Linked DNA regions of Solanum lycopersicum. The protein of the gene in region 3 binds, or shares a complex with, the protein of the main gene of each other region. Links are inferred from orthologs where the notes say so. Each region holds a gene or a part of one and is shown on either strand. Other genes may lie near its edges.

What was found. Proteins that work in one complex are often made in the same cells at the same time.
Region 1: suppressor of mec-8 and unc-52 protein homolog 2 (region 3) and serine/arginine-rich splicing factor RS2Z32 share a complex: the UniProt entries of both Arabidopsis thaliana proteins name them as parts of the spliceosome. The link is inferred for Solanum lycopersicum from reciprocal best matches to the Arabidopsis thaliana genes SMU2 and RS2Z32.
Region 2: suppressor of mec-8 and unc-52 protein homolog 2 (region 3) and U1 small nuclear ribonucleoprotein 70 kDa share a complex: the UniProt entries of both Arabidopsis thaliana proteins name them as parts of the spliceosome. The link is inferred for Solanum lycopersicum from reciprocal best matches to the Arabidopsis thaliana genes SMU2 and U1-70K.
Region 4: suppressor of mec-8 and unc-52 protein homolog 2 (region 3) and serine/arginine-rich splicing factor SR34A share a complex: the UniProt entries of both Arabidopsis thaliana proteins name them as parts of the spliceosome. The link is inferred for Solanum lycopersicum from reciprocal best matches to the Arabidopsis thaliana genes SMU2 and SR34a.

What each region holds. Positions count from the first base shown.
Region 1 is NC_090804.1:67,963,629-67,971,351, reverse strand, and holds serine/arginine-rich splicing factor RS2Z32, read right to left. Parts: upstream 5,328-7,723; 5' UTR 5,220-5,327; intron 4,336-5,219; 5' UTR 4,331-4,335; coding exon 4,224-4,330; intron 3,806-4,223; exon of another isoform or gene 3,574-3,805; coding exon 3,534-3,573; intron 3,386-3,533; coding exon 3,290-3,385; intron 2,863-3,289; coding exon 2,666-2,862; intron 2,569-2,665; coding exon 2,479-2,568; intron 2,053-2,478; coding exon 1,662-2,052; 3' UTR 1,431-1,661; downstream 1-1,430. UniProt on the Arabidopsis thaliana protein: Probably involved in intron recognition and spliceosome assembly.
Region 2 is NC_090801.1:64,632,217-64,640,100, forward strand, and holds the start of U1 small nuclear ribonucleoprotein 70 kDa, read right to left. Parts: upstream 5,328-7,884; 5' UTR 4,937-5,327; coding exon 4,841-4,936; intron 4,065-4,840; coding exon 3,950-4,064; intron 3,864-3,949; coding exon 3,784-3,863; intron 3,065-3,783; coding exon 2,989-3,064; intron 2,909-2,988; coding exon 2,844-2,908; intron 2,730-2,843; coding exon 2,667-2,729; intron 1,192-2,666; coding exon 1,110-1,191; intron 1,036-1,109; coding exon 888-1,035; intron 444-887; coding exon 375-443; intron 194-374; coding exon 1-193. Other genes in the region: proline-rich receptor-like protein kinase PERK5, read right to left, coding at 6,007-6,240, 6,434-6,595, 6,725-6,869, 7,348-7,424, 7,594-7,832. UniProt on the Arabidopsis thaliana protein: Mediates the splicing of pre-mRNA by binding to the loop I region of U1-snRNA.
Region 3 is NC_090806.1:9,683,791-9,691,446, reverse strand, and holds suppressor of mec-8 and unc-52 protein homolog 2, read right to left. Parts: upstream 4,760-7,656; 5' UTR 4,544-4,759; coding exon 4,494-4,543; intron 4,397-4,493; coding exon 4,256-4,396; intron 4,173-4,255; coding exon 4,123-4,172; intron 4,014-4,122; coding exon 3,896-4,013; intron 3,540-3,895; coding exon 3,491-3,539; intron 3,392-3,490; coding exon 3,302-3,391; intron 2,787-3,301; coding exon 2,718-2,786; intron 2,630-2,717; coding exon 2,506-2,629; intron 1,915-2,505; coding exon 1,574-1,914; intron 1,339-1,573; coding exon 964-1,338; intron 768-963; coding exon 498-767; 3' UTR 286-497; downstream 1-285. UniProt on the Arabidopsis thaliana protein: Auxiliary spliceosomal protein involved in splicing of specific pre-mRNAs that affect multiple aspects of development.
Region 4 is NC_090802.1:49,073,283-49,080,919, forward strand, and holds the start of serine/arginine-rich splicing factor SR34A, read right to left. Parts: upstream 5,328-7,637; 5' UTR 5,144-5,327; intron 3,671-5,143; 5' UTR 3,304-3,670; intron 3,160-3,303; 5' UTR 3,129-3,159; coding exon 3,042-3,128; intron 2,300-3,041; coding exon 2,234-2,299; intron 2,080-2,233; coding exon 2,005-2,079; intron 1,902-2,004; coding exon 1,781-1,901; intron 1,666-1,780; coding exon 1,619-1,665; intron 1,539-1,618; coding exon 1,481-1,538; intron 794-1,480; coding exon 744-793; intron 428-743; coding exon 371-427; intron 1-370. UniProt on the Arabidopsis thaliana protein: Probably involved in intron recognition and spliceosome assembly.

The DNA.
Region 1 (7,723 bases), on a different chromosome or scaffold from region 3:
TAATTAGCCTATTATGGATGGACCACACCATGTCTAAAATAAATTTCCCAACAAAGCAATGGGGTCAACGAACCCTAGTTGATTGTACAAAAAAAAAATGACATGCAAAGACGAAGCTAGAGTACTAGCTACAAGCTCGATAAAATTCAATAGCTTTGGCCAAAATTTTTGCATTAGTGTTAAGAATTCCACTAACATGAATATATGATTCATCCAAAACCAAATAAATTATTTCTTCCTTCATATTCAAAAACTATAAACTTCAAATTCTGAATTCACCACGTCTCATGACAATACTCTCGAGCATTTTGAAGTATTGTCATGGGATGATGATTATCATTAGACTATTTTGCTTTTGGTGCCTTTTCATGTATGAATTGGGAATCATGTGTGTTGATTATTTACTACTATTAGTACTAAATTTTGTTTTAGTGATCTACATGTTGAGCAACTTATATGTATTGAATAGCTTTACATTGTATATATAATTTATACAATAACTTCATAATACATCAATAATATAGCAAAAATTATGTACTGGTGTTTACTTCCTTGAATAGTTGTACCTACATTTGTAATGACATATCGTTAGGATTTTTATGAATTCTAAATTCTAGAATAGCCACATCAAGTTTTAGTAATTAGGGTTCGAATTGAACTTTTGACATATTTAGTGACACTTTCATAGTACAAATCCCCCCTCTCGATCCTATATTAGTTTCTTCGTATCACTTTCTTTATATATTGATGAGAATCTCCTTAGTGAAAATCCAAGCTTCCGAGCAAGGACAGCTAGTTAGTTGCCTTGCCCCTATGAAGCAGCTTCTCCTATAACAACAAACAGTTCTATTCAAGGATTATGGTTTACAAATTGTATTAGCACATATTTGACTATACATAACCAAATTCCAAATACTAACAGCTTCTCTCAGAGTTCTTTGATATTCACAACACAACATCCACACTGATATTCAAAACAAATTTACGAGTACTATGTCATGAATTTCGACATGATTTTTCCCCAGACTGGTTAACATATTATTACCAGAAGTCATTGTAATCATGCGATCTGGTATCTGTCACTCACGACACCAGATCGAAAGACCAAAAGCCAGCTGCACAAATAACATACACACCCCTGTATATACCAGTCTATTGTAATCATTCTGGTATCTGCCACTCCCCACACCAGATCAAAAGATATCAAAAGACAGCAACACAAATAACACACACAACTACAAGTCTTACCGTATATCCAATTGATCTGCCAGATGCATCTCAAATTCACGACAGTTGCTGCGTTTCAACTTCACAATTGGTGAATGCTTTGGTACAGTATGTAGGAAGTGACATACATAGTTACATCACTTTCAAATAGAGTTCCGAGGATACCAACCAAACTCAAGCTGAAACACATAACACCAAGCAAGTTTTTAATGTAATCTCATAAATAGAACACAGCATGTGCAAGGCAGTTTCAAATTCCGGTCATTCTAAGAAAAATCAATTACATGGTTTCCGAATATAGGGAAAAAGTACTATAAAATCAAAGTGCAAGGATGAGATAATTGTGAGTCAAACATTCACTTGCCACACTGACAGTATCATATGCATAGTTGTGAGTCAAACATTCACTTGCCACAATGTATCATATGCACATTTTAGGGTGACTCACTGCCCCTTGGAGAACCCCTTGGAGAACCATGATTTTCATAGTCACCTGTTGGGCTACCGTCTTCCACTGGGCTTCTGTCCTCCCTATGGATGGGGCTATTGCTGCGACTACGGCCATTTTCTTCAACAGGGCTAATATCTCCGCGTTCATCCATTCTAACATCATCTTTAGGGCTCCTGCTGCGGTCAGAACCATTGGTTGCCCTATCATCCCTTGGTGATGGTGTACCTCTCTCTACTGGACTTCTTTCATCAGGTGAAAGGCTGTGCTTCCTTCCCTTTGATGGAGGTGGTGATGACCTATGATGGCGAGGACTCCTTGATCTCTTTTCTTCACGCTCAATGCTACGGTCCCTCTTCACAGGAGACCTGGATCGGCTGCAAAGAAATCAAACACAATATATGTTAATAATTTGTTTATTTGTATAGATAGATTAAGTGACGGGAACAAATATGTATGTTTTAATCCCACAAAGGCCAGTTAGTTGAGATAAACAGAATCTGTTAGCACTTAAAATGACACTTTCTAGCTCTAACAATACAAGCTTTCATATGTTATCCACATAATACATCTATGAAAAGACAAATTCAATTACTTATCCACAGTATTATTTCAACTTCACAGCCATGATTGACAATGTTAAGGACTGTGTACACTCTACCCTCCCCAACCCCACTTTGTGGGGTTTCACTGGATATGTCCTTGTAACCATGAGCGGCAATGCCAATTCAGAATCTCAACACATAAGAAGTTCTCAATGAAGCTAAATGGAGCGCATTCCAAAAAGGAGCAAAGGGGGAGACCTGTAGCTACGACCTCTGCTGTAACTGCGGCTGCGGCTGCGGCTTCTTCCACGCCGAGGAGATGGTGAGCGGGAATAACTTCGGTCACGTCTGTCATTCAAAAACAAATAATAACCTTTAATCATTAAAGTATACTAGAACATCAAAAAATACACAGGGTGAAATAAGGTGGCAACTAGGAAAATACTTCAATTTCTTGGGGCTATTCTGACAGTTCCTTTCTATATGACCTCGGTCTCCACAGCGGTAACACTTGTTCTTCCAGTCCCCAGCTTTACAATCTCGAGCCCAATGTCCATCAATTCCACAATTAAAGCAACGACCAGTACCTGGAGGAGGACCTCTGCCACCAAACTCTCGAGATCCACCTGGACCACGAGGCACCTGCGATGCAAGTAAACTCCAACATAAAAAGGACAGCTTTTTGTTTAACCAATCTGAAGCATTAGATAGATTAAGGCGTGCATAACTCCTCAAAATACCAAGAAAACAAATCCTTGAAGCAACTTAACTACTTCAACGAAAGTGATAAACCAAGATCTTCTTTCTCCCCTCTGTGACATGCCAATTGTAGAGTAATATACTTATATTGAGAACTGAAGCATCATCTCGGAAATAATCGAGTTCCACCATATTTTCCCACTCATTGGGCATAAAGCCTGAAATTCTTTTTGGTTTTTCTTTTTTTGCATTGATATTCAAAATGCACATGTCCATGTGAGTGTAATTTGCTAGAGTTGCAAAAATAAAACATAAAGATACTATGCATATTGCAGTTACGAACACATATCAAATCCAAACTTTTACTCACCCCTTTGGCGAACTCCACGATAACACGACTTCCATCAACATCTCGCCCATTTAGGCCGTATCTTGCATCATCGGCATCTCGAGGATCACTAAACTCCTAGATTTAGCAGTATATGAAGAAAAGAAAGAAGCTTAAATCACAAATATATGAAACAAGGATTAGATGATCACCCTACAACCCTAAGAAATATCATTAATGAAGAAGTGAACAGAAAAGGAAAAAAAGAAGAAGAAGAAAGGCGTACCACAAAAGCATAGTCACGCTTCATATCCACATCACGTACTCTGCGTAAATGGGTTCCAGAAACAGTAAGGCCATCAAGTCATAAGAACCAAAGGGTTGATACTTCGCCCCTCAAAGATGAACTAAACACCACTTTTTGGATTGTGCCATTTCCATCAAAAAAATACGCAATAACATTATAGAAAGAATCGCCACACTCCGCAAGAATGGGAACCAATTCATCAAGGGCAACCTCCCACCACAAACCTCCGGATTGGGCAAAAACATAGAAACCTTCATAAACATTATTCGAGTTAAAAACACCAAGACACGGGGTGTTGCTCTCACATTTTCTACAAATTTTAAAAAAATAAAACAAAGGTCACTGTAACGACTAGTGTGTCTCATCTCCACCCCCAAAGAACAAAGACTGTGAACTACTAGAAGCAACATCATTTCTAAAAAATGATCACAATAAAATAATCACCAAGTACAGCAATCAATCAATCAACACCTAATACCAGACAAGTTGAGATCAACCATATGAATCTTTTATATCTATTCTACTCTACTTAGGCGTATTTCATTCCACTAACAAAATTAAACAACTAAAAGCTCAATCTTTATCCTCTTGGAATCTCAATATTCAATTACTCAAATTTCAATAACTTTCCGATCACTGCATAAAAGTAATGAATGGTTAAAAAATTACCTCCCATATCTGCTAAAGACGTCCTCCAAGTCTCGAGATCGCGTCCGGGAAGACAAATGTCCAACATATAGGCGTGTGCCACCATACCTGTCATCATACCGCGGCATCTTCTCTGAAACAAACTACCCAATTAGCTCCTCTCCTAATTATACTATCTCTTAACATAAATTTGTTTTTAGCTCATATACTTTTTTTTCCAAATGAATTCAGCACAAATGAAAGCTCAATAAAATATCAAGCGAAATCAGAACTAAAAAAATGCCTAACGAATGAACTATCCGAGTCAAAAAGGAACATATAATACAAAATTTCATGATAGCGCATCTTCCCGGATGAAACTACCCAATTAGCTCCTTTCCCAAATTATATGATCTCTTAATCATTAAAAATAGCTGTATTACTTTTTTCCAATGAATTTAACACAAATGCCAGCTCAATAAAACATCAAACGAAACTACAAAAAACACATATAATACAAAATCTCATCAAACCACTACATCTTCACTGAAAGTAACTACCAAATTAGCCCCTTTCCCATATTATATGATCTCTTGAACATAAAAATAACTCCTTTACTATTTTCCAATCACTTTAGCACAAAATGCCAGCTCAATATACATCAAACAAAACTAAAACCAAAAAAGGCATCTTGAATGAATTTTCAAAGTCAAAAAGCACATACATATTACAAATGCACATCATACCAAAAGAAACTACCCAATTAGCACGTATATAATAAAAACAGCTCAATTACATTTTTTCAAATGAATTTAGCACAAACGCCATATCTATATAACATAAAACAAAACTAGTAACAAAAAAAACACCTCTTTACGGAATATTCCGAGTCAAAAAAACACAAAATTTCATCCAAATTACTCGGAATTAATACCAATTTCTAGATGAATTATGCACAGGCACATATATTATGATGAAGAAAGCTATTTTTATCAAAAATATATGAGAAAAAAGGGTTTTGAATCGCAAATCGCTTACCTGAAAATTGAAAAAGGCACAGAAATGTAAGAACCCTAGATCCAATTCGTTCAAAAGAGTATAGCACAGTGGTCTCTCTCTGATTTATATACTAAAGTTTGGGCCTCAACAGCTATGGGCTTATTGTTATGTTGTTTTCATGGAGTGGGCTTCTAACTCTAAGCCCATTTGAGTTCTCTCCCAAATGTGAAACCTCCTCCTCTTTTTTCTTCTCTCGGGCGGAAATCGGAATGCACGAATATTCGATTTTGATGTATTCATCTAATCTATATCGAAATTAAGAAATTACAAGTTTATCGTTTATTTAGTTGTTGTTGGATATAGAGAAGGTATACGCTTTTCCACCTGAATCCTTTTCTGCGCAGTCTACCGTTTCTGATAACAATTCATAAGAAAGAGAACGAAAGCAAAATAGAATGAAAAGAAAAGAGATAGAGTTCAAACGTTTTCCATCACAGGTACATAAGAAATGTTTGAATTCTTTTCCCAGTGGAAATTCCATAAAGTGCGAGCCAAGATCCATTATACGAAAAACAAAAGCATTATGAGTAAACACACGAAAATCTTGATGTATTTCTCACTCAAACTCAGACAATAGAAAATTATAGTACTATTTTGTTTATATATATAAACTAAGAATCTGACTAATTGAACGTCAAACATTTATTAAGGATAGCTTCTCACTATACACGTGATTGACAATCTCTTTTATAAAACGCATGAATTAACACGTGACACTAAAACAATTAAAAAAAAAAAGAATATATCTGCAAATTATATGTGCGCCTTCCTTCACTTTATTCATGTATATCGATTTGTATTTATTATATTTGGTACTATTGTAGCTATTTAAAAGCTTTTGTCAATGTTCATTTTTCTCATCTCATTTATTTTTGTGATATTCAATTATTCTTCTAAGCGAAAATTGCATAATATGAATGAGAATTTTTAATCGTTGTATTGATTAAGTGTCTTTCGTATAAATAACGTTATATATAATCTATTCTAAAACCATACATTTTATCTCAAAAAAATTGAATTAGAAAACATAATAAATCAAAAATGTTAAAAATTCATAATTCAGATTTACGAAATCAATAAATTAACCATATATTACACAACAACATCATATTAATATTCAGTCACACAATTGAGACTTGAAGGATATATATTATAATATAAATAAAGATTACTTATCCACTTATGATAAAAATATTATTTCGAATACATCCTCTCTCGACTCAATCATATATTATAACATCTAAAATGCGAAAAAAAAAAAACTCAAACACGACCCCCCCTCCCCCCCCACAAATTACGACCCGAATAAGTCAATCGGGTTGAATTTTTTTTCGACTGAAAATCAAGTTACGCCATATATATACACACACAAATCTCCGTATTTCATTTTCTCTACCGACGTTAGTTTCATAAATCAAAAATCTCTTCTTTAACATTGAATAATTCTGTGCTTCGAATCATATATTATACTGTAGTTCCTTACCAAATCGATATCTGTAATCGTTCTTCGTTGCTAATCGTTCTCTGTTTTTTTTTTCCCAATTTTTTCCATATCTTTTTTTGTTTTTTTTCGTCTCAATTTGCTTTGGTAATACATATAAGGGTGCTGCTTTGTTCGAGGTTGATTGTTTCTCTGTTCCTTGAAGGCTCAAGCTGTTCAATTTGTTCAGATTTTGGTTAGTTTCTTTTTTGTTGCTCAAATTTATTAGAAAAAGCCCCTTTTTTTGTGAGATTAGAAAGTATGATTGATGTAGGCAAAGTTGCAGCTGTAGTTCCATGTCTAGCTAGTTTTTTTCCCCATTTTTTTGGACCTATAAACATGGTGAATGGACAAATCCGTAATTTGACATTTTGTAAGTGTTTGTGGTGGTAAATGCTTATTGGATGTGTTAAGGGTGTTGGGGATTTTGTGCAAGTGGGATGAAGACCACTTATGATATGGGTAGAAGGAGGATATTTGCTGTTTAACTGATTTGTTGTATCAGTATATGCTGGATGATATATGAGCTCTTTAGTTGTTAGATAATGACTTCAACTTGTTTGGTACCGAGTCGTAAATTGTTGTTGAAGGTTGACTTGCAAATAGTCAAGATGATATTTAAGGAGTACATTATTTGTGGGATTGGAACCTGCACATGTAATAGTTAGGATCCAAAGCATACTGGACCTCAACTTGTTTTGTACTGAGGCATAGTTGTTATTGTTGTTGAAGGTGGTCTTGCAAATAGGATTGGAACCTGCTCATGTAATGATGGGTAGGTGGAGTTGCAATAATATGCTGCAATTCTAGTTCTCTTTTGTTTTTTTGAAGTATTTTTGAGTGAGGGGTGAGCCCTTAAATAGTTGGGATAGAAACGTAGAAACCACTTTTGTAGGTTTGGAATCCTGCAGCTGTGACATAGATAGGTGGAGATGTAATGATTAGGCTGCAGTTTTAGTCCTGGTTAAATTCTTTCTTGCATAAAATTTGCTGGAGTAAGGGA
Region 2 (7,884 bases), on a different chromosome or scaffold from region 3:
GTCACGTGTCCTATCACGTTCGCGGTCTCGATCACGGTCACGACCACGATCTTTTTCTCTTTCTCTGGTTCTCTCGCGTTCCCTATGATGTTTGTCATCTCTTTCACGTTCCCTTGGCCTGTCATGAGAACGCTCACGAGATTTCTCTCTGTCCTTATCTCGCACCCTTTCACGGGACTTCTCCCGATCCCTGCTAATATGGGAATTCATAATTGTATTAGACGTGAAACACATTATAGTATTAACTCACATTTAAACTAAACAGAGTAGTAAATCAGACAACTCATCCTTGGAGAAGTAGAAATTTGTCTGGGAGTCAAATTGGGAGAAAGAAACTCAAAGCAAGCATAAGCTATAAATGCCTAGGTTGTTACCTATCCCTGTCATCTCGTGCTCTTGGCTCCTCAGAGCGAGATGCTGCCCTTCCAGGCTGAACCACCTCTCTGAAAAATAAAAGGAGTATTAGAGTCTTCAATAATTAAAATTCCATCCAAGAATTTAAGCTTTTCACTTTTACAATCATACCAAGAGGGCAACTACACAAAAAAAAAACTACTTTTAAGAACATTTTACGAGTAATTATCAAACTGAATGCCAAACAATAATAAATTCAACTTCTAAGCAAGACGTCATACATAAATGCTCAGAGCAGCAAGTCCTTTATAGGGAAAAAAACACAAACTGAAGCATCCATATAACCCAAAAGATGAGTTGAAATTCAAAAAAGCAGTTCATGTCAACTACAAGCAAACATGTCTTGCTGTATCTATCAAAATAGCGTTCTTACTCCATAGACACTACAGGAACCATTATTGCACTAAAGAAGAGCTGAGATCAATGTCCGTTATAGCACTATGCAATGCACATATGACAAGTTCATGCAATACCTAGTAGCATCTTCATTTCCAACTCTTGTTGTTCCAAGTCCACCACCAAGTCTGCGGGGACGCCAATTGGGGACTGTTCTACCACGTTCTACATCAACCAGCACTCTTCTATTATCAATCTTCTTTCCATCAGCTTGTTTATACGCAGCTGAATTATATCCAAAAGAATTAGAGATGGAAGTGAGACTTCGAAAAGACAGAAGAACAGGAGTTTAGAGAAACCTTTCATATCCCGTGTATGCACATACTCAATGAAAGCATAACCCCTGGGTTTATTGTTTGTCTTGTCCATAACCAAGCGAACCTGAAACTCAAACAATTTATGGAATTGACACTACTAATAACATTATAATCATTTTCGATGCAGCGGTCAAAAAAGTTAATGTTTTTTATCTACTCAACGCGATTAGGTATAGTAAGCTCCTAATGGCACGGCAGGCACTATGCCTAATTAGCCGTGCTCACCTTTGAATCAAAGAGCTCCCAGGCGAGATGCTTCACCATCACTGCTAGAGTTGCACAAGAACTGTGGCCTTATGTTTGCAATATATTCTAACTCCCCTTACCAGGGAACATTTTAAAATAAAATAAATTATTATAGAAGTATAGTCAAATACCAGGTGTCTCCTGAAATGCTTGAAACTTTTTTGATAGCCTTTGAATCCAAAAGTAAAATCTTAGCAGCATAGATGGGATGTAAGAAGAGTAAAGAAGAGAAAAGGTCGATACTCCCAACAGTTTTTTTACCAAGTAAAGGCAAGTATCAATCTCCGGTGTTGCTTGGAATAAGAGGCCAAAGATATATTGCATCATTGCTCTGCTCATCTAAGTGTTCAGCTTTGTTTCATGTAATGTAGCTCGGACTTGGAAATTGAATGGTTATGTTTGGCAACTCAAAAAAACATAAAGCTACCAGATAATTAAGTTTTACCCTTACCAGGAAAATACCTAGGAGTTGAACATCTTTACCTTTGTGGTTCTAGAAACTAAAGGAATACCAGAATGAATAGTACTTGAAACTAATGATATCCAAACCAGGATAAGAGGATAAAGGCATCAAACTGATACTCAATAATTGGAGTACTGTTACCTGAGGAAGGGCATACTGGCAATCTGACCTTTATTTTACAAAGCAAAGAAAAACTAGTAACTTCACAAAAAAAATCACCCATTTTCAGAGAGCAGTATGCACCTCGAACACCAGGGAAGAGTGCTAGCAGTTTAAAAAACAATCCATTTCTTAACTACAGCCTGAAGAGATGCACCCAAAGATACAATTGAAAAAAAAGTTCTCCGGATAAAACGTGTTTTTTGATGATCTGAAGCACTAAGAAAGTCGAGAGCTAATCAGTTTATTATTTAACAGACAACTGCCGAATTCAATAAGTTCTTATCAAAATACTGAAGTGCAATCCATGCTATAAGTTTATACACAGAATGTGAATCGCATGCACCTTTAAGTGGAAGTTTGAAACTTAGAAGAGTAATGAGTGACACTTCCTTTTAGGTAATCCACCCTCATTTCAGAAAGTGTATCGACCCCACAGTTCTTTAAATTTTGGTTATCAAAATCTGTTTTAATAAGATGCTAATTTTTTTTATGAAGTACATAAAGAGAAGCTGCTAAAATCGTAAGATGTTCTATGCTTTAAGAAATAATAAGTTGTGGAAATATCAATTTGAGAAACGGAGGAAGTACCATGCCACCATAAAAGTACACATCTTACCAACCAAAAGCCAGTAACCTGAGCCCCAAAAGGGATGCTCTATAATACCTACCCGCTTGATTGGACCATAAGCCTCAAATTCGCGTTTGACTCTGCTTTCTGTTGTCTCATAATTCTGAAAAACATGTAAAAGACAATCAACAAAATTAAGGAGATATTCCATTGTCAAAAAAAAAGAAAAAGATTATATTCACAGCAGCAAAAATGATCTAAAAAGATCTTCACTCACAAGTCTTGCAACAAATAGTGTCTTGTATGGATCCCCGGTAGCATTTGGGTCGCTGCTAGGATCATCTGTCCAGCAGAAATAAAAAATTATTCCATTTTTCCCATAAATGTCTCTCAAATATTCAGAAAATTTAAGCACTTGATACATTTTTCAAGCTCCTCAGCAGCCTTTTTAGCACCCTCCTCCAGCCGTATCTTGTGGATCCTAGCTCTTCGTTCAGTCTGCATGCAGTACCAAAAGCAATCTATGAGCATAAAGAAAAAATATACACAGATTCACCATAGTATGTAATTGCACAGCTTATGTTACATCTTATTATACTTTTCTGGAAAAAGTAACTCTTCAGAACCGGTTGGATACCAAAGGATATAACTGTCTCAATCCCAAATGAGTTGGATTAGATAACCCACATCTCAAGTTAAATAGTAATTATAATGCACTACTCTAACTACATGCACTACCAATTTACAACAGTTTCAGCTCCACTGACTTGGGGAGACAACAGTATCTTCTAAGATGAGATCCAATGGTTACAACAGCTCTACAACTTGGAGAGATGATAATAGCACCTTCCCATTACACAGGACATCTTTGCATTATTCAGTGAAGACAAACATAAAACACAGAACTAAAGAAGTACCCTAAAGAAAAAGATAAAGAACAAGACATGATATTACCAATAATTCAACAACAACACAATGTTTTAGTGTCATTTGCTGGACATTCAAGATTCATTCATCTCGAAATAGAAAACAATTCAGCAGCACATGAAATGGCAGAGCACACATAAATAATCAAGCAAACATCATATTCATGAAATTAATATCACTGTTAAGAGAAGAAGAAGGGAGAAGAATGAATATGCAACCCTCAATTAAATATATCGGCTTACCCAAAAAGATCAGAAAAAAAATTTGCAGTACATAAAATGAAGTCTTACCGGGGTTTCAACCTCAGGGATTGGTGGAGCATATTCTGGATCACCAGGTTGAGCGAAGTTACTAACAAATTGTGCCATCCCTAAAAAGAGAAATGAGAATATATCTAAGAATTATACGAGATGACTGATGGAACAAGAAATGACTCAATCCATGAAGAATGTTAACCAGTATATGAAGGGCATTTTCTCTTCTCAGGGGGTGGTTTGTACTCCAAAGGTGGTCGGGGCTCAAACAACTTCAGAAGATTAGCAGTCAACCCAGTTGGATGACTTTGACCAATCTGCATATATTAAGTATATTAACAAAGTTAGTACACAAACTTGTAGCACCAGTGAAGAACAAAGAAAAGGATATCCAATAGTGCAGCAGCCTGACAACATAGTTCTACTGTTATTCTAAGCCAACTATCTAATCACACAGTATATTTAGATGTCATAAAAGCACAACAAATATGCATCTTAGACAATTTCGAATCTCATTTCACAAAAAACAAAAATAATGAACCTTGAGTTGGAACTGGACGAGTTCTAAAATATCACGAAACAAGAATTAAACCACAAAACCTTACTCACTACCCATAATAACAAATCACCAAGACATCAAGAAACCAACAACTTGGGGGTTGACATATGAATCCACATCAATTCCACTCCATCCAGGTCTGTTTCCCCCAGTATCATACAATTAATATTTTGGGAAAGATTATAGGTACCTAAGATTATAAATAAATCGACATTGAGAATCCCCAACCAAATTAAGAGAGGGACTTAATATGAGTTTACCAACAACAACTGACTAGACCATAATCCCAACAAGTCGGTATAGTCTATATCGGTACTTCACTTCTACTCTAATTTTTCCTTTGCTGAATAACGAAAGACCAAACAAATTGTAGCAACAGGACATAAAATCATCTAAATTTATAACCTAATACTCATCAAGAAAGAACCTACGGAAAACCTAAACAATCAAAAAACACTAACACAAAAAAAAGGCCTAGTTTAACAATCTAAGCCAGTAAACAACAAAGACAACAGATCGAGGGTTATAACTTACCAGCTTGAGTTGCATGACATTAGCGCGATTCTGGGCCTTTGCACGGGCCTGAACGTTAGGGTTGTTCCGCATGAAGGCATCGTTGAAGTCTCCCATTGAAGCCGACTAGGGTTTTTGCTAGATGCGAATCGCCGCCACAAGAAGTGGAGTTACGTTAATCGGACGATTGGAGAGATGGAGAAGATAGCTGAGGCGGCACGAAGAACAAAATAGAAACAAGGGTTTATCCGGCGCAGAGAAGCGGCTTATATAAAGACTCCATCAGAGATCGTACTCCAGCACTGGCGAGTTCATTTATACCAAATTTTAGAAATATTTTTTTTTAACTAAAAATACGAAATATCATTTAATCTTTTAAATATGTTATGTAAATAACGAAAAAAATTATCCAAAAGTAAGATAAATTTTCTTTTAAAATTAACTAGAAAAAAAAAGCAAAGAAATGAATTAGAATGAATAAATCAATAACTATGAACAATGATAAATACATACTTTTCTATGTCTTAAAATACGAAATTTTATAAAGTCAATGAGACTTTTAAATTTTAAGGATAAATCAACTCAAAAGAAAGACATAATTTATGTAATTAATATTTTCTCTAATCCATATTAAGTAATATGTGTTCAAACGAATGTCATTTAATTCTTGACAAGTTTTAGTACGAAACTGTTTTTATTTGTTAACCCTTCAGTTCAATATATTTTGATATTTTTATTTATTTTATGAAAAGGGATAAATATATCCTAAACTATTCGAAAAAGATCATATTTATTTTTAAATTATATTTCGACTTAAAACTATTCTTTCCATCAAACTGATGGGTCAAAAGTGGATTTTATTAACGAAAGTTGTTAAATGTCTTGTACGCCAATCGAGTTCCACTGCCACGGTATGTACAATCAAATATTATATTGTATAAAAATTTATATATATAGTCAAAATGTACAATAATGTGCAGAATATTGAGACAAAAATGATACTCTGCTATATATAATGTAATGTAATATATACATAAGCATATTTTGCTGCTATGACTTTGATTTTGTATATTTACTAGACAAAAATCACGAAAGAGTAGATCCATTAATTGTATCAGTTCTAGGGAAGAAGTCAAAGTGTTAGCTATTCATCCTGTCAAGCTTCAAGTTTTCAGCTAGTTAGCTATTCATCCTCTACTTCTTTGATGATGATCAAGCTCACTGGAATCACCGCTCGAGGAGGAAGGGTTGAGTCCATAGTCACTTGTCCCTCCATATTCACTGCTATTGAATTCTTGGTTTGATATCATTTCCCTAAACTTGATCATGTCAGCGTTGTATGCACTAGTATCGTAGGTATCAGTCTTTGCACCATCGCTCATGTCCTCCAAAGATGAATCGCCATCCAAAGCTCGCATAATCTGTTCATTAGAATGTGCATCACTAATTGTCTCCAGAAAGTAGAAGAGAAAGGAACATATACCATGAGTCTAATTGCAGTGGTATAAGATATAAGTTCAAAGTAATAGGTAAAGGTAAACCACAAAACCATGTACCAACCGGCTTAACAAAGGAGGGTCTAGTTTGATAGCTCTAATCTAGAAGATGACATACCTGAGTCATCTTTGGACGTCTTTTAGCAGAATAACGAGTGCTAGCAGCAGCACAGACTACTAGCCGATGCAGCTCTTTTGGAACATTGTTTCCTTCAAAAGGAGCACCTACCAATTCGTCATATTTTCCCTCTTCCAAGGCAGTTTTAAGAAGCGGCCTAGCCTGTTCATATTCATATATTAGGCTAATAAGGGTATGCATATACAAAGATTGGTGTCTAAATACATGTTAAAATCTAGGTATTGTTGATGCAATGAATGATAATATGAGAACTTGAGATCAAGAGCGAACCCATTCTACTAAACTGTCTTCCATAATATTGCTAGGATCAATAGGTCGCTTCCCAGTTATGAGTTCCAAAAGCACAATTCCAAATGAAAAGACATCTGATCTGTCTGTTAGCTTGCCACTTGATGCATATTCAGGAGCCATGTACCTGTAGTATAAAAATAAGACGGCTTTTTCATTACTGATGCCTAATTTCTTCCAGAATCAAGCATCCGCATTTATTACTTTAACCAAGAGGTCAGAAAAAGTTAAAATGACCTCTAAAACATTTTTCATGTATGTTAAACAGTGGTTTATTTTTTGCCTTCACTGTGGATATCTCTTGCCTAAGCTACTATGACTGAGCATATGAAAAGTCTCTGAAAATTAGAGACCTTTAGAACCCCAAAACAAAAACATCAAACAGATTTTCAGGGCATACTAAATTTTGCAGAATTATCAAATTTCTAGGCCTTTTAGATTGATAACATGGTACATGATTGGATTTCGACCAATTAAGATCTTTCAGTAAGTCTGGAAACATTTAAAGATAAAAGATTGTATGTCACTTCTAAAGATAAGCACTAACCTTCACCTAGTATTTCTTTTACCTCTCAAAAAGTAGAAAAATGCTATGCTCGACTCACCCGAAAGTTCCCATAACACGGGTGGAGACATGAGTAAGGTTGTCAGAAGAAAGCTTAGCCAATCCAAAATCTGCAACCTGAGAAACCAGAAACACTCTTGTAATTCCCAAGGTTATCATGATTATTAAGCAACGCTTCTAATAAAAGTGGAGATTTATGTTGAAAACCAACATCATAAGTTTCCTGACATGTGCAAAATACATAAAAACAAATTCACGAGACAATAATGACCTACAATAATTTTACCTTAGCTTCAAAGTTGTCCTCAAGTAGAATGTTTGCAGCCTTTATATCACGGTGGATAATTTTAGGATGGCCTGTGTGTAGAAACAAGGTTGAGAAAGAGAAACAAAGAGTAAAAGAAAAGGGGAGCATTGTGAATAGAAAAAATTGTATACAATCTTCATGGAGGTAAGCTAATCCTTTGGCTGATCCCAATGCAATTTTAAGCCTTGTTCCCCAATCCATAACACGATGTCCCTTCCCTGCAAACAAATTTAGTTTTAACTATTAGCATGGAGAGCATTTTCAACAGTT
Region 3 (7,656 bases):
TTTAAAACAACATAAATTTCAAAATCAAGGAAATCTAGAGCTGAAAACCTAAACACTATCAAACTTACGACTTCATTTGCCTCACATAACTGTAAACCTCAACTCTCACTTCTAATAAGGATAAGGAAGTAATAATACATTCATTCACTAATAACTAGTCTCTACATTAATAATATTGATATACTCTAATCAACTACAAACAACCCCTTATATTTTACAAAAATTAACTTGTATAATTAGAATCCACTTCAATCATCATAAAAAATTTCCATATATGTTATAGTATTTTATAAAATAACATTTATATTTCAGATTTAAAATAAATAAAGCGATACGTGTTTATACTAGCACGATATTCTGAACACTAAATCAAGACACGATATTCTGAACACTAAATCAAGACATAGTACTAATTCAAATTCAAGATATTCTGAACAGTAAAATGTAGAGGAAGATCTAAAAAAACAAAAAGATCAAAGTTTTATCTGTCTGTTTGTTCATACACGCTGCTTCTTTCCAGGTTGTATTTCACCGTCTTCAAGTGCTTCACCTTTGTCTTTCTCCATCTTCTTTCTGGTGAGTATTTTGTTTATCTTATGCAGCTCATTCGTAAGCTTCTGGTCTTTGTTTTGTTTCCTCGTCTTCCTACCATCCTGCATCTTCACTCCAAACTGGAATGCAGCTTTCGGCATTGCTTCCTTCTGCTCATTGTATGTCGCCCACTCCTCTTCTGTCTCAAAGTCCCAACGATGAAGCCTTCCCTTTGCCTACAATGCATCACAACATCAAAGAAAAATTAGAGTTGTATCTTCGTACAATTTTAAAAAATGTAATTATTTTCAGTTATGTGAGGCAATTGAAGTTTCCTTTACAGGGACCAACATTTTGTAGGTTTCAAAAGTACGGGGGAAGGGGTGAACTAAGAAATGGCATAATCTTCAGCAAGAACAGAGTATCACTTACGCGTCCACCCATGTCCATTTTTGACAAATCAGCTTCATCATCACTGTCAACAACCTCACGATTGTACTCTTGGTAACCAGGATAGCACTCCGAATAGCTTTCAGAAATAAAGTTAGGATCCTTCTCTCTGGCATCTCTCTCTCTCAATTGCAGAAGCCTCTGATCATCCCTCTTGAACACTGACCCTAGGCCTCTATCCTTTTCTTCTTGAGTCATAAACTGTGGATCCTGAAGACCGTCAACATCAGCTTGCATATCATAATTCTGCTGGAGATATTGCTCAGGATAAGCCACCTGTTCAGGATACTGATAATCTTGCCACTCTGGTTGGTAAACACCAGCTACCGCTTGTGCTTGCGCTGCATCATATCCATTCTGGACAGATCAAACATATTCAACAATCAAAAGATGAGTAATAGTTGCAACACATAGTAAAATCTAATTAAGGGAGTAAATAAAGTAAAGTCGACAAATACGATGGAGGGCATCCAATTTCTTCCTTTCTTCGTATAAATGTAGGAAAAAGAATCTAGGCAGATTTTGTCATAAAATATTGTTAAGCATTTTAAACAGGAATGATCTAATGCCTTACAACTCAAAACTGACTCACCGTGTATTGCCAATCATGAGAAGGCTCAGATGGAGGTACTGGGCCATAGGCAGGTTCACTGAAATATGAGGTTCTCTCTTTGTTTCGAGGAGATTCTTCCATGTCCTCCGATACAGGGCTTTGACCCATATCTCCAGCAGGAACGGAGTAGTCAACGCCTTCCCCTATGAAGATATCTTCTTCTTCAGGTCTAGCAACAACAGGTCCCTGAACCTCTCTTCTTTCTGAATGGTTCTTTTTAGGAAGTTGTGCAGATGGATGCACAGTTTCTTTATCAATTTGGCTCTTTGATGCATCCGACTTCAATACTTCGTCATAACCATTGGATATAACTGTCTTCCCTGTACAATATTGAAAACTTGTGTCAGAACACAGAACAAGGATATAGAAGTGCAGCTCCTTATCAATGAAGAGAAGAGATAACTCACCACCAACAAAAGAACAAGAAAAGGGCAAAAGGGACCCCCTCCCCCAGCTCTTCATTAATGTACAGGTGACAGAAGAAGATCCAAAAGCCCAGAAAAAAGGAAAAAGAAGCAAGGTATACTTAGTGTTGGAAACACATAATAAGGACTCCAGAGAACCAAAATGCTCTTTTTTAGTCTCCATGGAAATACAGAATCATACTATATCTAGTTATCAACTACCTTCACACTCAATTACACCCTGTGCCCCGGTTTCAAAGAAGAATAACCCACATTCTATCCCGGCTACAAAACATTCTATTGTACTTCTTTATAGGAAACCAGGCCCAAACTCACTTTCGTAAGCAATAATATTAATAGGCCTACCAAGGATGCAACAACACCAGTCGGAAATTAGAGAAAAGGTTCCCATAAAACAAACTGGATATATAAGAATCTACATCACATTGTGACTCTAATTACTTTCAGAAAATACAGTAAGGTTTAGAAGGCACGAACGCTAAGCACCTTTGCTATCTTTTTCCTTCTTCTTCTTTTTGAGAACTTTTCCTGATGATCCAAGACGGAGATAGGACATGATTTTAGCTATTCGGTCTAGAACAGAACCATCAACACTGACTGTAACCATTTCCTGAAAAATATAGATGAGATAACCCATTCAGATGGAAAATTCAGGAAGAAATTGCCTGACAGTAATGCAGTATGGAAAAGGGAAATACCTCGAGGACTGGACAGTCAGCTTTGCTTCTGTGTAGAGTTGTAGGAATATCATTGGAGTATCCACTATCCTGCAATATACACATCAACCATAAGTGAAGAAAAAGAGAGACCGTGAAAGAAAACATACACACAGTAACCGCAAGTGAACAAAATCTTCACATCTTCTTCACTATCCATATTCCATATGACACATCTGATCACCAAACATTTTAGTAGTAAAATAAATCAACTTCAACGATTCTAGCATCTAATTTCCGACAACACCCTTTCCACCTTCCTCCAAGAAAAAGAATGGCCTTCAGAAGGAAAAGACTATTCACCCCCGCCATACAAGCTAAACTCTAGCGTGACATCAACAGTTAACTACAGTTTTGCCCAAAAAAAAAAAGTATGATCCAATATAGAAATAGAAGCTTCTCAGCTACCTATCACAAGTACAAAATTTTGTTTACTATTACATCTCAAGTCTAAGCGCACTATAAGAGGACTCAACTAATGGTCTGTGAAATAATTCCTTTTCAGGCAAGTAGAACCTAGCATACACAACACATAAGAGCAGAGGAAGTATAAAAGGGAAACATACCATATTAAAAATAAAAGCCATCCGTCCAGGAAGAAACATTTCGTTGGTCTTTATAACAGTCTGAGGCTTGATTATCCATTGGTATACTGACTGAAACCCCAAACTTACTAGTCACTCTATTGAAACATAACTACACCAAGCAACAACTAGAAATATTTGAGACGAAATCAATTGAAAGAGTTAATGCACCTTGGCAGTTGCAGTACGGAATGACAATTGATGATCTTCCTTTACACCTCTATTAGCAAAAGGGATAAATAGAATAGTTAATCGAACAGTTTCCAGCAGCACTGCTTCTTAGACATGGTGTTCAAAAGAACAATTCACTAAATATGCTCATTACTTTGCATATACACAAAAAGATGTTAGCAGAGTGTCCCTAAATCAGGGTAATCTATGGAAGAACATATAAAGGGGCATCTACAAAAGAACTCCCTATCTAAAGCTACAGTCTTATCCAATGGGAGCTACACATGGATCAACTTTATTAGCTGAAAATTACTAACAGGCTCTTGGAGAGTCAGTTACTTATTCCTGGGGTTGAAGTAAATGAGTCATACATACAACTAAGCAATAAAGTAACCTAGTACTTACCTAGCTTTTCCTTCTAACGCCTCATCTCCAGTTTCTGGCTTCTTATCTATTTCACTTCTCACTTTGTGAAGCAAAGCATAATCTAACCCTTTAACCAAATGTGTATGTTCCACATCACCTAATTTACAATCAGCCAAAACAAGGATTGATTAGCTGAAGCCATATATCAAGAAAACTGCTGAACTGAAACTAAAAAATATTCTTGTACAACCACAGACTATACGAACCTCCAAGATACTTGCTCTTCTCAATAGATAATTTCTGAGCATCAGCAGAGCTGTAAAAGTTCAAAACAAGAAAGTTAGAACAAAATTAAACGAAGAAAAAGAGAAATGGGTGTTTCGTTTTTTTTTTTTTTACAGGAGATCAATATTCCCGGGAGGAGCAACAGCATGAAAACCACCAAATTCAGTGAGTTCATAATCAGGATTTTGATCTTCTCTCCTTTCTTTAGCTCTGTCTCTGTACTTTGGTAACTCCGGTTCTTCAACCTTCTCTTCTCTGTAACAAAAACAATAGAAAAATCCCCCATTTTTCAGCAAATTAAAGAAGGATCTATTGAGATTTACATAATCGAAGATGAAAGAGAGAAACAAACTTGTTGCGACGAACAATCTTTTCCTTGTGATTTCGCTTTGAAGAAGACATGATTGAGACCTTATTCCCAAAAATTCCAGATTAGGGTGAAACGAGCGAAGAAGACAATCAACCTCATATAAACATCCCCAAAAGACTAAAATAACCCTAACTTCCTACTTTTTGTTTCGATTTATCATTATTCGATTTGTGAAGATAATCAAATCAATAAGATATACACTATCAATTTTTAACTAATTGATTTTGACAATCTAATGAGCGCGTTTTTTATTTAATCGATAAGAAAATGGTGTTATATATATATATATATATATATATATATATATATATATATATAATGTCCATCTAATACACTTAGGGGTCGTTTGATAGAGTGTATAAGAATAATGCAAAATAGGGTGTATTAGTAATGCTTGCATTAGTTATGCAATTATTATTTTTTATACACTGTTTGGTTTGATGTATTAGAAAAAACAAATCTTGCATAATTTCTATTTAAAAAATGTATGTTTACAAAAATACCCTTTACACTTTATTTATTTTTACACTTTCTTTGCAACAAGGTTCTTTGTTAAAACATCAAAAAAGATTTCTTTGCTAAAACATTATTTATTCCTATTCTTCTTCTTTTTCTAATATAAAATTAAAAAATTGTTACTACATTAAAATAAGATTTAAAAAGAACAAGAAGAAGAAGATGTCAAACATCTTCACAATTTTGCCACCATACGTCTCAAATAGAGGAAGTAATGTCCTCTTATTTATATTTTTTTATTTGTTGATATATCAAACTCTTGTATATGATCCATTGTCTTTTTCTTAAAAAGGAAAAACGAAAAAGAGAAAGGCTGCATGGTCTTCTGGTAACTTTTTGTGACAATTCCTTTTTGATTACGATTACCATTGCACTTAAACTTTACAAAGGAGATTTTTCGAACAATTTATATAAAAAAAAAAACTAATTACATAAGGACTCTATTTGCTGGAAATCTGTCAAAACGCGGCTGGGTCGACGAACCTCGCGACGGATCGTCGTGGTCACGATGGACCGTCATGGACTCCGTCATCCCATACTTGTTCAATTTCTTCTGCTGCTCTCTTCATTATCCTCAACGACAGATATGACGGATCGTCACAAGCACAACGGTCCGTCGAGGGTCTCCGTTCCAAAACACTTAAACTCTTGGAATTTGGGTACTGGACTACTTCTCTGACCTTCATGACGAACTAGCAGGACGGATCGTTATGAATACGACGGTTCGTCACGCACTCCGTAACCTCACATTTGGTTAGATTTCCCCATCTTCCTTCAGCAGCTGCACCACGATGCCACCTACGGACTGTCGGAATCTGGACAAATGTGGTTCTATTGATTTTTTTTTTGATGAAGTAAATGTGGTTTTATTGATTCAATGTTATGTTATTTGTGGAGAATCTTCACCAATTATTCATCACCGTATTGCTGATGATGAATCTTCTAAGTAGTCACTGCACATGGCTTAAAGTCAGCAACCATTGATTTATTAAGCCTGATACTAGACTTTTGAAAAAATGAAGGGTGAAATAGGTTATATCCAAATTTTGACTTGCAAAGTAGTTGTAGAGCCTTCGATTGGAATTCTGTTCTTTGTATTTCACGGGGTTATAACATCTTATATCCAGTTCTGTGTGAACCAAAACAAAGCTAGAGGGACATAAAGTATGAAACCATTATCTCTGACACAATGGGACTTATCATTAAAAATAAGGTGTCCAAATAGCAAATACGAAATTGATTCTATGGTCAGATGCAGTATCAAACCTTCCAAAATGAGATGAAATTTATAGTTTCCATATTCCGCCTAAATCATCTGCCACACTGTTCAAACAAATAGAAACGAACTTCTTCACCTCTTCTATCACACACATTCATTAACTCATAAAGAAATTAACAATGAAAAACAGAGACTAGACACAGAAATACAAGACAGATTAGAAAACTGTCATAGCAGCTATATAATTGCATTTCAGAATCTCAAAAGTAAATGACTACACTAGAATTTGAAGAGTTGTAATAACAACTATATAATTACATTTGTGCTTAGCATTGACACAAAAGTTGAAATATTTTGATAAAACTTTAGTTACCCAAAAAGATTTAACATGCTCATGTGCACATTAATAATTAGAGATGCCCAAAAAAGCGACTGTTGTCACACTTTGAAGTGATTTCAAGCAAAAATTACTAAACTAGTGTAGCCACTTATATCACAAGTTCACAGTACTTCAAAGTTTATCATGGACAGCCATCCACATCATTGTCGGACGATCATGTTCACCTATACGTAAAAATAATTCCATCTTTTTTTCGTCATTACAGAGGATCATTGCAGCTTTTATACGTTGCTCTGTGATGCACAACTCAAATACAGGGGATTCAAGAATAGAATAAACTTGACCACGAACATTAGATCGATTACGATCCCCCATCTTTTCAATCAAAGCACTAATTCTTTTATCTTGACTTTCAGTAAAGTTTTTCATAACTTCCATCATACCCTTAAGAAATGTCTCACTATCATCCTCTACTATTTTTTCCTTTTCTTGCTTTTCTCTTTCTCGTTAACATTAGAAAATGATCTTTTTGAATACTCACCTTATTTATGACTTTTTCGGTATCCAACATGTTCATTTTCAGAACCAGCAACATTTTCTCCTTCATTAAATATGCTAGGTCCAGTGACATTTTCAGCTCTAGTAAATGAACTAGGTTCGGTAAAATCTTCAACTGTAGCAAATCCACCTTGTCCAGTGGCATTTTCAGCTTCTTTAGTACCAACTTTAGAGCTATGGTAAACATTTTCTTCTTCTTCTTCTTCTTCTTCATCATCATCAAGATCAACATCGATAGGAAATCCCAAACTCATGTCATTAGAATGTTGTGGAGCTTGACTCTTTTGAATTTCTTCAGTAGCTCTAGGGGCCCTTCAGCGAACTCTCATGTTGCTCTATCCTTACCAAAGATTTCTTCCCAATCCTTAAACATTGGCAATTTCTTAGCATTCATTTTCCTGGCTTGTGGATCAATCTAGAATATTTAAAAAAATAGAACAATATGATATTAATTAATTGTAAAAGGATCTAAAGAGAGGCTAAATGCTACTGTATATGAAAGTAACTAATAA
Region 4 (7,637 bases), on a different chromosome or scaffold from region 3:
TTAATTAGATTTGGCATGAAGTTTAAGGAAGTACAGAAGTCTTCTGAATCACGCACCCTTAAACAAAATATATGTATGATGTCACAAAATGACCTTTAATCTGTGGCCTTCAACAAGCCAAGTTGGATGTTTAAATCAAAGAGTTAAAAATTAGAAAAGAGACATTCTTTTTAGAACTGACTAAAATGATAGTAAGACAGACAAGTTGAACTAGGAGAGTATTATAAACCATCAAATCAGGAAATCACCACCATACCCCATGAATATGCTGAGAGATTAAGCATCGACATAAAATTAAAGTCTTTCCGAGAATTCGGATTGAACGAAGAAACAAAAAAAATCTAGTGTAAATAAAAAAAATAAGCAATACCCGGATGTAGGTTCTTGTCCAAGGATTCCTGAACTCAGTATCATCAAGTTTTCTTATCTGAACAAAAAGAAAACATGTTAAACCACAAGCTTGGTCCTTCTCCAAAGGGATAAATGAAATAAAAAACAACCACCATCAAGGGAGTTGCAGATTAAACGTTCATGAATAATGGAACTAGCAAAACACAAGAATTACTTGCAGAGGATATTAATAAAAATAACGACAAATAACCATCCTTCCAATGGTTAATGAACCAAGGAACTCAAAAATTCAGTAAACTCCATCATGATATAGGGTCGAACTCCTCAATGGAAAGAAGATAGCAATATTGAGTTTAAAACCCATTAGATGATGAGGCAGATAAGAAACTTACAGCATATTTCATGTCTTCATAATTTGTGTAGTCCACCAAGCCAAAGGTTCCTGATATGGACAAGAAAATTTAGAATTACAGACATAATCACAGAGTTAGCACAAGAACAGAACTCCAGCTTTTCTCAAACGTTTGCTCAAGGCACAATAAAGACAAGCGAATTGAAGCATGGTCTCAACCTAACCGTCTCAGAGCTTTGCTAAGAAGCGCCAATGTGCTAAGATGTACACCTTATTACAGCCGTGCACTGTCCCAAAGAGGGAAAGACTACTAGAGTTGGCAAAGTGATATATTAATCATTAAAGAACCATTTTATGAATGAATAACATAGTAATTAGGAATAAGAAATCAAAATTTAACATTAAGAGAACTCCACACTAAATCTGAAGAAATTAGAGCTAATATGCATTTGAATTAGAAATTTACTATGGTCTTCAAATGGTGGAATTCTTACTCTGAGCACTGATTTATATTTTCCAATTCTTCTATTCACATAATCAATTCTGGTCTCTCTGTAGCACTTTGTTTTCTTAAATTGCAAGTATAATTAGTTGTCCTCCATCCCTCCTTGATAAAAACACCACACTCTAGTTGCACTTAAATTCTTGGGAAATTTTCTGATCTTAACATACATGCAGTTTTTTCACCACGATTCCAGTATTCTAGAGTATTGTTTAAAATTCACAAGTAAAAGGATCCTATTAGATATGTCTTCAAGATGTAAGACTAGGTCATACCTTCACTGTCACGAGAAACCTCAGCAAAGCACACATCACCAGCTTTCCGCATATGATCCTGACATATTTTCCACCAGGTTACTGCAATTGCTACAGATACAAACCAAGATAGGGAGATATCCTGCCCACTTCACTTACCTTCAAATCTTGCCAAGAAGCAGAAGATGGAAGACCTCGAATAATAACTGTATATAGATGACAAGAAAAAGTCAAGAGACATCTATATGATCAGGGACAATTACATCTACAGCAATCAAGACAAAGAACTTCACAAGACATTCAAATAAGTTATAGTGGAACCTCGGTAATCAGAATGCCGAGAAATGCCATGGCGCCCTCCACCTCCACCGCCACCGCTGCCATAACTGCCTCTGCGATCACTTGAAGATGATGGCCCTCTTCCTCCATGAGCAAGCTCAACCTATATCATGCATCTAAAATGTCAACCACATGGAAGCTCATACGTCCTACATAGATCTGTGTATCTATGAATATGAGAGAATCAAGATGGAAATTGTTCTTACCCTCAGCCTACAGCCATCAAAGTTGTAGCCATCCCTACCCCTGATGGCATCTTCAGCATCTCGAGAACTTTCAAACTAAAGAATACGGAGAAGGGAAATTAGAGATAAATCAGCACACAGAAGCAGCAGTTGACAATAAGAAAGGCAAAAAAAAAAGCAACCAACAGCAGAAGGTCAAACTTCAAACTACAGAAAACTATATACATGTAAATATGCTAAATAAATATACCTCCACAAAACAGTAGCAAGGAGGGCGAGGTGGAATCTTCAACTCAATGTCCAATATACGACCATACTGCAATACAGGAGAGAATTTATAAACAGTAAGCACTTTTTAAGCTTAGGATACAGTGTTTCTTTTACAACAAACCTTAGGATACAGTGTTTCTTTTAAAAGGAATCTCAGTATATAGTGTCTGCAAGAATGTATGCTAAACCAACTCTACATTTCAAGGCTGAATGCTTCCAAATCGATGCCTCCCAACTGTTTACTCTCCTCAATCGGGTAAACAGAATACTAGTGGTATTGAGCACCACTGCCTAAAGCCTAGAGTAGCAAGTATGGAAGAAAGACCGAATCTAAAATAGGAAAAATAAGAGGCAAGGAGCATGCAGTGCAAGATACCAGAGAAGAAGCCTCCCTCACCATCAAACTTTGTTTTCAACCACAACCTAATATTGATACTAGTACTGCAACAGATTCTCTTATGAAACTACACTTAGGCTTTCTTGTTCTAAAATTTCACATATAAGAGGCAAATCAAAAAAATCCATTATACAGATGGCATTGTAATGAAACTCAGGGAACAAGCATATCTAGGAATGCATTCATCTGCAATATAATCTCGGGTGAGGCTGTTTGTTTTTTTTTTTATAATGATGCGAGGCTGTTGTTTTTTTGTTGTTTACAAGTATAACTTATGCATTGAAGGTTGAATCCAGAGCCCTAGGAGATAATTACGATTGATAATAACTAACTTCTCCACAAGAAAATAAGCCTTTGCAGCTAAGTGTTTAAATAAGTGAATGTGACAGACCTTGTAGAACAGATCTTCAACTTCCAGTTCCTTTATATCTGCTGGTAGGTTGCCAACGTAGATTGAGCGTGAAAAGCGGCCACTCATTCTCAGCAATGAAGGGAGGATTCACAGAAAACTGCAAACAGATGTAACTTATAAACAATTTTCATGATTCCACTAAACACTGAAGAGAAATAATTAAACAATTATGGATAAATTTATATCATTCTGTATTTGACTTGATGATAACAGAATCGAGCAGAAAAATTCTGAAGCAAACCAAGAGAGCAATCCTTCAATTGAGCTGTACTCCACAAGCTCCATTGCTCAAATGCTCCATGATGCTCCAAAATTATAGATTCAAACAGAAAAATTATGAAACCAAGAGAAATATCCCAAGTTAAGCTAATGCTCCACAAGCTCCATTGCTCATATGCTCCAAGATGCTCCACAAGCAAAAATTATTTGAACTAATATTTGATCTCCTCATCCACTCAAAATTTTTGCAGATGATAGCTCTTCTGAGAGTGAGGAAGAACCTCCAACTATACATAAAACCCAAATACTCCACCCTGACTTGTCCCACTCCCCCAAATACATCCCTATGTATGATTCCAAAGCTCATTTTTGTTCCAAGCGCTTGAAATCTATCATAAAGAAAGCATTTATGTCATAAGATGAGGTGAGATCGCGACATACTAATGCATTTTCCCTTTTCTTAATTATTTTAAAGATCACTGAGAAATTATCCTACAAGGCATGCAATATATACCTTTCCTGTTTAAGTTTAACATAAAACCAGTTTAGTGCAACTGATGTTATTTCCCTTAACCTAAGATTCGATAAGATCTCTAAGTCACCAATTCTCAAAAAGAAAAAGATTTTTAGGTTACCAATGGTCAGTAAAACATTGTTTGAACTTTGAACTGTGGAGACTACAAAGATGCGAATTGGATATGAAGCAGCATATTTTCAGCAAAAAAGAATTTACTTTGGCAGATCATCGTCCAAATAGTTTTTCAATATATGGTTGGATTAAAAACAGGATCATATGGCGATCATTAAACGCGCTAGGATTGAATTTATAGATTCTGAATTTTACAAAAGGCATCCGCATCTTCTAAAAGGGTTCTAGATAAATTATTTATTTATTTTGAGAATGAAGAGAATGGAATCGGGATAAATTTATTTTCTTTTTGATGAACATGGTGTCCTGGCCAGCTTTCTCGCACCTCGACTAATTCCACGGATAACTGCCACCCCCACCAGCAACAAGTAACAGGTACCGGTAACTCTGTCCACCAAGGCTAGATAAATAATGCATACATATTAAAAGAAAATTTGAATATAAAGTACATGATGTGGGCCAAACCTACCAAACCCGTCAACTGTAATGTGGCTCCACCCCGGCAATCATAAAAGATGGAGGATGGTATTTTGCTGAGATATTTGTATATTAAAGTTGACAACGAACCTTATGTGTTGGATGAATCAAGTGATACAGAGTGAGATTCAGAATATTCGTAATGGAAAATGACGTAAGTTGTTTTCACCCTTTTGGTGGTGAATTTTCAACCATTGAGGAAATAAACATTGGAGAACGATTCAATGAGTAAAAAAACTATTCCATAAAATATTCTCTGCCATACCAAGAATACCGAATTTTCTTATTACACGATTAGAAATTCATCTTTTTATTCCACTATTGCTAGTATTTTCTTCCAGATATGATGGTTGCAGCTCTCTGAAGGGAAAAACGCTATTGAAGTAAGAATTTCACTGATAAAAAAAAAACTATCACACTGTTATGTAACACAAGAAACATCACAAATATGACCCATAAAAGTTCGATCTTTTCTAGCAAAAGCCAACGAACAATGAGAAGCAACACCCAGGCTAAAACAAACCCTGGGATTACGAAATGAACCCATTTCTGCCACAAACAGAAAACGATCAATTCGCAACACAGAACATCCAGAAAATACAGAAATAGCTAAATTCGGTAAGATTTTTACAGATGCGTAACTAGGGTTTCTTCCACCCTCGACCCTTCTTAGAAATTAACAAATGTGCCCTTATCTTAGAACAGAGCTGTGAGAAAAAAATCTTCTAAATATTACCTGGAATTTCAATTAGGGCTCGGCGAAATTCAGATGAAATTGATGTTCAACTTCTTCTCCGGTTCTTGTCGGGTTCTCTCTCCTGGTGCTGTGCTGCACTTCTTCCAGAGAGTTCTTAATTTTAGGGCTTTTTTCTGGTTATAAAACCCAACAGAGTAGGATCTGTTCCCTTGATTTTTATTTTAGCTCTTTTTAACCCTTCAGCTTTGATTTATTTACACAAGTTCCCATTTGGAATCTCAGTTTTCTCTGTGCAAAAATCAAATCGATCGATAAATTAAAATTAAAAAATATATTATTGATTGGTTATTATTGTGTTATTTATTAGATTGACAGTTTTCTAATGGTATAATAAAAAAAAATATTGATTTATCGGATTAATTTTGATTTTTGAATATTGGATTATTTGATAAATTAATAACTCATAAGACTACAGTAATTTACTATTTTATCGTACATAAAATATTAAATATTAATATCAATGCATCACTAGTTAGTACTCTCTCGGTCAATATTTAGTTGTCCAGTTTAAAAATGACACACATATTAAGAAAATAATTCATGACGTAATGAATTTATCATTTTACCCCTATTAATTATGAAGTGGATAAAAAAAAATTACACTTTTCAAATTAATTAGTCATTTCATTGAGGTATAGATAAAAAAAAATGTTCATTCTTGATTTGTCAAACTGGATAAGTAATTAGGAATAGCTATAAAATAAAACGTGGACAAATAATTAGGACAAGAGAATAGTTACTATCTTTGTCATTTTGCATTCTATTTACTCTTGAGAGTGATTTTGAATGGACAACTTCACATTATACAAAACGTCAAAATCTAAAGTAAATTTCTTTCCTCTTAACTTCTCTTTGTATTACACTTGTATAATCTTTTCATGTTAGTTGTTATTGTTTATATTTTATGAGCATTTAACAAGTTACATTATTGTTAAAGAAGTCATATTTGTTTTACAAGCATTTTTTATTGGTTAAATCGAATACTCAGCCGTTAAGGATCAAAACTGATAAATCGTAAAACGAAGTTGGTTTTAGCATATCTAAAATCGATAAAATCAAATTGATAATACATAAAATTGAATTGAATCGACCAATACACACGTTGTTTGATAGGATGTATTATAAAAATAATGCATGAATTAGCTTTGTGTATATTAAATATCTTGTTTGGGTATAATTTTCACTTTTTGTGTACTTTATTTAGTAATATGTTATGCATAATTAATAATTTCTTCCTTCAATCTTGTCCAGTGTACTAAAAATAGATGTCGCGATACTTGTCCACTTTATATAATCCTTGAATCATTTTACATATAGTTTTTAAGTTATCCTTATTATCAATTGTAATTATTTTCCTATAACATTTTTTCAAGACATTGTTATATTCAAAGGGTGGTATAGTAAAATTGTCTTTCTATTTATAGTTTCTTTATAGGTGTGCCAAGTCAATAGTACACAACTATCGTTGGACAGACAGAGTACATAATGAATTGTGTCAGTTACGCAAGAATTTATGATGAATGTACTAGCATGGTTAAATATATAATTGTCTCTCAAAATTTTTTACACATTCTTTTCATTGTATTATTGACGGTATTTGTGTAACCAAATAATTACTTTTAGAAATCATGCGATTCATATTATTTTTAGTACATCAAAATAAACAATATATTAGTAAATGGTCTTAGTCATAACTAATATCAACGTTAGTAATATATGTTACCACTACTAATGCACTTTATTCAACTTTATTCTTATATACACTACCCAATAATCCATTTATTTTATTATGTCTTGTACAACTATGTGACAAATCATGGGATTAACGATTGAATAAAAAAAATATATACAAACATTCTTATCATACTTACTATTTTTTTTCTAAAGTTTAAAATAATTATATAGGATCACAGCAATTAATACTTTTATATCAAAGTATAAATAACATTCACTATAAAATACGGATACATGAAAAGAGTGACGAGTAAGAAGGGCGAGCGAGAGAGGAGAGAGTCAAGCGAGATAGAAAAGGAAGAATGAGAGAATTAATGTATCCTAGCTATATGTACATCTAGTTGGATAGAATGTATCTAAAACAAATTACATAAAAAATTGATCTCATTATCCGAAATACGTATATTTAAATGCGCCAAATTACATGATTTGAATATTGAAATTTAGCACAAATAACAATTTTAAAAACTCACGAAAATACACATAATTAGGTCTTAAACTAATAAAATTTTCCACATATATTCACTATATTTGCGAATTAACTTATGTAAGTATGTTTTTTAAAAACACAACTAGATTGAATAATTATGTATAAGAATGATTTCAACGTAATTAATAATAGCACAATTAATACCATCATTACTAATACAAGCTAAACACCTCAGAAGCAAATTAGTGTACTATTAAACACTTACTAACCAAAATCTTCTACACACATCTCTACTCAGAATCGATTAAA